Drosophila melanogaster: one gene and its partner. The protein of the gene in region 1 interacts with the protein of each later gene in a pairwise test. Each region holds a gene or a part of one and is shown on either strand. Other genes may lie near its edges.

Region 1 (4,374 bases):
GGGGGGTGTTCGTTTGGCTGAACATAAATAACCTACCTGGAATTCTTGTTCGATTGTTCGCGGTGTTTATGCAAACACAAAGGCGTGTTGTCTGTTTGGTTTGTTTGTAAATAGCCAAGTAATAGTCGGCCCTAAAAACAACAACAACAACGGCAGTCAGTTGAAATGCCGCTGGCGGTAGTGAAAAACAAATTTCCTCTCTTATCTCAAATGGCTTGCGACTGCCCATTAAAGCGATTGCAATTAGCCCCAAACGAATTTTTCTGTTGATCTACCCTTTCGCAGAGTGGGTCCATTAATTTCGTTCTCAGGATGACTCACGTTCGAGTCCATTATTTTGCGATTTAAGTGTACAATATTTAATAATTACGCGATTATTTGGTGAAAGTTCATGGCTGTCTTTTGGTTTCTTTCTCATTTTTTCGTAGTTATCTATATCTAAATGGCATTTTAATTGCGAATTAATCTACGAATGTATATGCTACCTATTTGTAATATCATTCCATTTGCTTACATTCAGATACTTATCTTTATTGAGTTGCTTTTGTGAGCGGTATTACCATTTATTTGCAATCTTAAAGATAGCACCATTCATAAGTAGCTGTAAACATTGTTATCGTATATTTTTTGAATATTTATCAGCCAAAAGCTGATATCGCAGACAGGTAACTCGAAACTTTAGCACCTGCCCTCCAATTTCGAATTGAACAATCTCATCTCAACTTCTGACCTCTTATCTGTCGGCGGTTTAGCCTGTTGTCTTTATTGCTTTTTCGCTTTGGGCAACGAATTGTTTTCTTGTTTTCTTTTAATTGTCGAATAATATTGACTGGCGGACTTTTGAGCAAACTGTTTGCCACTGTCATCCGCATATCGCATTTTTTTTCGTGTTTTTCGAAACGCCGTTTGATATGGCTTATGTCTGTGTCATTCGGAAGTGGAAATTGTTTGCGTCGATACGCTCGAGAGCATGACATGGAGATGCCATTGGGGCCACAAATACATGTGAAAGCTCACACAAAGATGCCGGCTATACACTGGAGAAAATTACCTTGCCGAGCTAATATTACATAGTCAGAAATCAAATTGTATGTTGTTTATACAGTCAGAAAAAACGCTTATTATTGGAAACTACAATGCGTATATAGGTATTTCTTTTAAACACTGTATCGTCTTGCAAACTTGTAAAAAATCTTTTAAATAAATAGTTTAAGTTCATATAGTTTTTAACTGCAGATTTGTAAGAATTACACTTTTTTAAAGTTCAATAAATTTTACATATCATATGTAGTGCCCGTTTTTCCCAGTGTACAAGAGCGGATTTTCAAATATCAGCGACACATGTGCAACCGGCAGAGTGGAAGGCATGCGTGTCCGTCGTCTGCCCCTGCCACATTGCCACTCCCCCTTTGGTCGCCCCCGTTTACCCGCGAAGTACGCGTTTATTTTTAAAGCAAATTGCATTAAAAATACCTCGCACTTTGCTAGCGTTTTGCTATTTCAATTGCAATTGCACAATTGCACCTTGTTCTTGCAATAGCAATTGCGCTAACTTATTTTCGTTCTCGATTGACAGCGGAAAGTGCAACAAATAAAGTGCGCTCAGTCGGAAGAGCTTTGGCGTTTTTTAAATTAACTCATAATATGTCCAAATTTGGCTGTCGCATCGAATGATTCACGAATTCGTGATGGGTGTATATGAACTTATCATTCCACAGCAGGCGTCTCGCATTCGATACAGTGGGTTGAAAAAACTGTAAAAAAAACCATTCAAGATCAAGAGCTACTCTTACCAAATAAAAGGGAAAAGATACTTAAAATCTTAAGTTCACTTATGTAAGATCGGATTCACACCTCAAATTTATCCATTGAAATTTGTGATAAACCGTTAAAGCGTGATATTTCCGCTATTTTCCAATACAATACCCATAAAATGTGTCAACAGTGAATTCAAATTTGGAAATTTAAGTATGTCGATTGCGCCTTGGTGTGGGTTTGTCAATAAATTTGTGACTACGTTGCTGGAATAATTATTTGCGAAATAAGACATACCGTTCGTTCGATACATTTATAGTTTATTGAGATTTACTATTCGTTCTGGCTCGCTATCCCATTGCCAACGACTTTGCCACTAATCTTGGCCATTTCCCAGAAGTAATCGGCCACATCGCTCACGAACTTGGTGGATATATTCTGCAGCTTCTGGCCGGTCAGGAGTGTCTTATATTGCAAGTCGGTGAGTCCTGTCTCGGATTGCCGATTAATCAGCAGTGGAGAGTCCTTGAACTGCAAAAGGGATATTAACAGTTTGTTTATTTGATGAATACCAATGTAGGTATCTATTACCTCTTCGAAGATATTCTGCCACAGCTCATCCTTTCGGTCCAGTTCCTGCTCATCAATGGCTTGGCTCAGGCGCGTTATATAAAGACTGATATCTTGGAATCGCTTGGTCTGGGGATTCAGAGCGGCCTTCACCTCGGAGAAATAGGCGATTTGTGATCGGAACAACGAGTTCAGCAGGTGGACTGTCTCCTCCTTGGCCTGTCTCTCCAACTCCCTTTGCACTGGATCATCGGAGTTTAGGAGTTGTGGATTTGTGGGCTTGGCAGCCACTATTAATAGCTGTTCAATTAAAGACAGTTTTTTTTTTTAGTATTTTAATAAATTTGGAGAACTTAACGCATTCCTAACCTGGGCTACTAAAAGTAAAGGAATATATTTCAGCATCGCGTCTTATTGATAAAAAATCGAAAGCCTCCTCACTCAATGAATGGTGTTTTCAAACTAATTGGTGGGAGCAGCAGGCATGTTTTGATTAGCAGTGGGATGTTCGAATCTCTCGGGTGCCTGATAAGCTCCCAAGGGTTTCTCCTGCTAGGAATTTTGTTTTGCTCTTTCCCGATTTCGCAGATGATAATAAGCTTTTCCCAACAAATTTAGGAATTCGATGTCATCTGAATTGCGTTTCAGCTAAAGTTAGTGAAACACGTTTTTAGATTCGGAGAGCATATTAGCCATTGATCTATCTTTATTCGCTGTCAAGGTCTGTCTAGCTGTCTGGGTGGTATGGCGCTCGCATGTTTTTTGTTATCAACAAACATAGGAATAACCTTGACAAGGGTATGGTAAGAAGAAACATACATAGGTTTGCGTACACAAAACAATTAATTTGGGAACTCCGTTGCAATATGTTCTCATATATTATTTAATTTTATTAAATACCTATTTTTACAGACGCCGAAAGTTTTTCTATATTTGTATGCTTTGTACAGACAAGTTGTTTATTACCTATTTTACTGTTCATTCATAACTATTCAAATTATTTGACATACATACTTTTATGTATTGGCGCAGGTATAGTAGTTCTTAACTACTTGTAATGTATTCTGCAAACTACTGATATTTTTAATAATTATGCTAGCAATGCTAAAACGCTAAAATAAGATTGGACACTTATTTTTTACAAACTCTACGCACTCACTTTACATTTGACATTTTTAAGTTATACATTTTTTTACCTTACACGCTACTAGAAAGTATGCAGTGGAATTTAAACACCTCATTGCTCAAATAGCTCAGCCAAAAATAAGCCGATGGCAAATATAAAGGTCTACCGCAAAAAAGTAGGCAACACAATTGAGCTATATTTGGATTGATCTAAAAAAAGGAATTTTTATTAAATGTGGCGTATCACGAAACGGTAAAAAGTTGGGCCAATCTGATAAAATGTAACTTGTAAAGTTCACTTCAAGCATTATAATTCCCTTCAAAAAGACTCCTGAAGATGATCTTCTTGACAATATAACTTGTAACTCCAAATCAAGAATTTATACTAAACAGAACTTCTTGAGTAAAATTTCCTTTGTTTTGAAAACAATACTAATTGTACACAAGCATTGAACCAATTGAAATATGTTGATAAATTAGAGTAAAAGTAGAGTTATAAAAAACTACAGAGCTAGAGGGCCTAATCATTTTTAGCAAAGGAAATGCTATTATAAGTCTAATCTGTGAGATTAGATTAAGCAAATTGCGTGTTTTCCCTGCCCTGGTGGGCAGTGAAATAAACCAATCCGCACATGGTTTATGGCCCGCACGTTTTTGACCACCGAAAATTGGATTATGCACTTGTTTTGGATAATATGTAGAGTTTATTTGGCCTAATTAGTTTCCTCCCGTAATAATCGCAATGATATCACTCAGAGTTCGGTCTCCGATCAGATCATTGCAAATGGGAGTAGCCTGTTCGCTGACCCAGGCGGCAACAAAGTCGGTGTTTTCATTAATCGTCAGGGTTACGAACTCCTCGATGATCTCGTTCAGTTTGCGATTGAAGATTCGGTACTTGGACAGGTTCTCGATCTGTGAGTT
Region 2 (4,116 bases), on another chromosome or scaffold:
GGTGTGATGTGGCGCAAATGTCATTTTCAATGGCCGAAAATTTCGGTATGCTGCTGCCCAGTGCAGGGAGTTGAAAATTCGCATTCGCCGCATCCATAATGGATGATATGTCCTTTCGGCCCGCTGATCCTTCGGTTAAAGCAAAGCCACCGGGTTAACTGACCTTTGCAGTGCGGCCAACTTGAAATGCAAATAAGCGCCAATGTCCAATTGTAAAGTTCAGCAATCTAGAGTATTATTTATCACGTTTCAGCACAAACACATTGCCAAAAGCAAACAATTTAGTTTTGTGCGCAAAAGTTGCTGACGCTGGCACGTGCAATTTGAATAATTAACCGAACATTTTAATTAATGAAACAAGTTTGGTATTGACTTGGCCCAAAGTGTGAGTGCGTGTAGATACACACACTAGCACTTAAAAGTGTGTTTTGGCCCGAAGTGTTGTTGGTCATTTGCGCATTTATTAAATTAGAATTTGTGTGCCATTCGGTATGCTGTTTGCAGTGCTTGTGAATAACAAAAAAAAAAAAAAAAGATAATTAAAGTGAGCAGAAATAATTGGGCACTTTATTTATATTTTTTATTTAGTTACCATTCTAGCTATAAAATATGCTGCGAAAATAGGAATTATAAAACACATAGCTGTGTTGTGTGCCATTTGTTATAGTTTAATTGATAATTATTTCGCATAATTATTTCTCTTAATGAGTATAAACACTATTTTAAAACATTCCGAACAATTTATAAATGAAAATTTAAGCAAATGCTTAAAGTTAAAGAACTGACTTAATTATTCCATTTGTATTCCAACTGACAGCAGCTGTTGCAATTATCCCCCTTGCCAAAAACTAAAGTGAAAATGAGGTGGTGGAAAACCATATTCCACGAAGGAATGGCGTTGGCGGATCCCAGAAAGGAAACCGCCGACTGAAGCTGTGAAATGCGAAACGCAGCGGTATCAAAGGGGGAAAAGCGAACTGCCAGAAAAAAATCACAACTGAGAAATCAGAAAAAGGAAAAACCCAACCGGAGCCAACTCAATTCAGCGAAATCAACGCCAACGGCGGCTGCCTGTCAATTAAAACATTAAAACGCGCTGAAAAATGCAGCGAACAGGCGCAAAGTAAACAAACTGCGGAACATGTTGCAGTGCGGACAGCATTTTCCAACATTTTCCAACATTTTCAGCGATTAGAAGCATAGAATTTCGCAATGGAGCACTTAGAGCAGCACCAGAGTTTCGGGCCCAGACCACCAAACCGAGCAAAGAAATCCGATTCGTCGACCAGGGGAGGGACTAATGTGTGACCCAGTTTGGATCACTGTGCAGGAAAGGAACTCTGTGTGTTTTGGCCATTTGCTTTTTGATCATTAAAAACTGGTTGGCCGCCGCCAGCTGAGCGCCCCACTACATTTGCGGTCAGCTTAATAGCACCGCTGCGGCCATAAATTAGTCAAAGAAAATCTATTGGGATGGCAGCTGGCATCTGTCAATGATTTATTCTTGACACATCATTCCGTGTTAGTTCTTTTAAGAATTAAAAACCAAATAAAATAATAGTAATGATTTACGGTTGGGTCTTAGTGCAATTGTTTAGTAAATAAAGTTATCAAAGGCTATTAATTACTATTTATCATAACAGTTGATCAACAGCAAAGAGTTCTGGAAGAAAAGCGTGGAATATTCGTTTATATTTTTGCATATTTTTGAATATTTTTTTAAACAGTACAAATAACTTTTTAGAAAAAGTTTTATCGTAGTCAAGAAAAAGATGATTTAGCGCACTGACTTCTCCAATAGCTGGCTTTCTTGGATAGCTAAACGCTCCTATTCAAACACCCCCGACTGTGGCTATCTGTCCACTTGAACCGCCCGCCCATGTCTTCGGCGGCAGCGTCGCTTGTGGCATTGCCGCTTGGGTTTATAAGCGGCCGGCGATGGCGGCGGCGAGCCGAGTTTCAGCGTCAGATTAGCCGAGAGCGCGCGCGTTTTTTCCCACGATCAGGAAAATCGAATTCCAGAGCCATGAAGGATCGATTCAAGTGGTTGTCGCTGGAGCTGCTCCTGCTGATAGGCGCCGCAGTCGCCTTTCCGGACGGCGCTCCGGCGGACACGTGCGTGAAGCAGCGGGCGAATCAGCCGAATCATGGCAAGGCCCGGAGTCAGCCGGCTCACTCGAATCCGTACGAGGTGGTGGCCGATGCGCAGACCTACCATCCCGGCCAGCAGATATCGGTGGTCATCTACCCGCACTCGGACCAGAGCACCGTCTTCCGGGGATTCTTCCTGCAGGCGCGTGATGCCAACTCGAACGAGTGGATCGGCGAGTGGGTGCAGAGCGAGAACACCAAGACCATTCCAGAGTGCTCGGCCATTACGCACTCGGACAACCGGGACAAGCTGGGCGCCAAGCTCATCTGGAAGGCACCGCAAAATAAGCGGGGACAAGTCTACTTCACGTAAGTTGGAAGTTATAGGAGGAGTGGGTTAATTATATAGCTCAAGCCAATGGAATTATTAGAAAGATCTAGAATCTATAATCGAACTAACTTTCAGTGTTAAGTAGTGCTCTTACAGTCACAGCAAACAACTTAAATGCATGCAGAAGTTTCACTACCAACTTAATAAAATAAATGACCGCTTAGCACCCATTTTTTCGGACAGTTTCAATGAAGCACTTTGTCAAAACTGGCTTCGTACAACGCAGTTCGTGTCTTCTATGGCCCATCACCCTCATAATAATCATCATTATCATCGGAGGCGACGGTGGAAGTAGCATAAGCCGTGGCAACATCATTGTGCCTCGTGAAGGGATTCATTAATCATACGCCACGTTGACCCACATAATGTAATGCGCGCATAATTGTCAGGCGGACAAAAACTTGCCGGATAATCGCACAAAAGGCATTATGTAATTGATTTATTTGGAAAGAGCACACCCCTCATCAATGGTCCACAAAAAAAGGCATCAAACGGCAAAGACGCCGCACAGTGACAAGCTCAAAAAAGCCAAAGAAAAGCTGTCAATGCTTTTTATGCAACTTTGTCAACTTTGTCGGCAGATAACACTGGCCAACATAGACAAGTGCCAACTGTGAATTAACCACACAAAACTTATTTTCCGGACACTTGTCTCATTTGTCATTCTACCAAAACCAAAATATGCAAATATGGGTATTAATCACAAACAGACAAGCAAAGTTTATGGACACATCTTGCACAAGATCTGAAATCAATCATCATAGTACACTAAGGGAATTAATGCACAGAATTATAAGCTATAAAATGTATTATTTTCTCCATAACCATTTGATTTGAAAGTACTGTAGTCCAGTGTCGTCTCACCTTAAAAATCATCTGCTAATATTGCCTAATCATTGTCTACTAACTATTTATAGACTTCCTTGCGAATAAATTAGAAAAAATCATGACTTGCGAGCAACCATAAGAATTAACATTTTCACTTTTCGCTGCAGGGGCACTGTGCTACAGGAGTACGGAACGTTTTGGAGCGACATTGTGAACAAAGTGCAGGCGGAGCGGCCATAACTGAAATTATGTACTTACTTTTAAGGCAGCCGGGCAATAAATCTTAAAAACCCTAATTAGTCAAAACGAAATTGTTGTTTGAGGATTTTTTTTCGACTGCCATTCACCATTCCGACGTCTTGGACGTCGGACGCCAAAGGCGCCCCATTGAGCTGTGCAATCAACATTACAGGGCAAAATTATTGGCTTTTTGGCTCAGCGCTTATGAATGACCAGCCCACATCCCAGCGCCCAACGAGGCGAACCAGTTCCCGTCGCCCACCACAGACAGCACCTTGCCACCCACATCCGCCCACATCCTCCCACCCACTCCACTCCAAGTCCGAAATGGAACGCACGAGCCGAGCACGTTTGGGTTTCCAGACACGTTGGCCAGCTTCTCATAGGAAATTCGTTTTGGGCGCCCCGGCAAATTGGAAACTCTAAGCACCTTTCAGGCTGGCTGTGCTATAAAGTAATTAGACGGCCAACGAATTTGACCAAGACATAGGCCAAGATAAGTATTCGTAGCATAGGTCTAAAGCACTTCTGATTGATTGCCCTTACAACAATAGGAAGCGGATAAG

The links. Proteins that work in one complex are often made in the same cells at the same time.
Region 2: the proteins of CG33307 (region 1) and CG14515 interact in a two-hybrid assay, tested with the Drosophila melanogaster proteins (one large-scale study listed by BioGRID).

What each region holds. Positions count from the first base shown.
Region 1 is NT_033779.5:13,838,750-13,843,123, forward strand, and holds CG33307 (uncharacterized protein), read right to left. Parts: upstream 2,772-4,374; 5' UTR 2,731-2,771; coding exon 2,695-2,730; intron 2,626-2,694; coding exon 2,347-2,625; intron 2,287-2,346; coding exon 2,089-2,286; 3' UTR 2,053-2,088; intron 1,755-2,052; 3' UTR 513-1,754; downstream 1-512. Other genes in the region: CG33306 (uncharacterized protein), read right to left, coding at 4,168-4,374.
Region 2 is NT_033777.3:29,195,608-29,199,723, forward strand, and holds CG14515 (uncharacterized protein), read left to right. Parts: upstream 1-1,948; 5' UTR 1,949-2,026; coding exon 2,027-2,460; intron 2,461-3,477; coding exon 3,478-3,550; 3' UTR 3,551-3,604; downstream 3,605-4,116.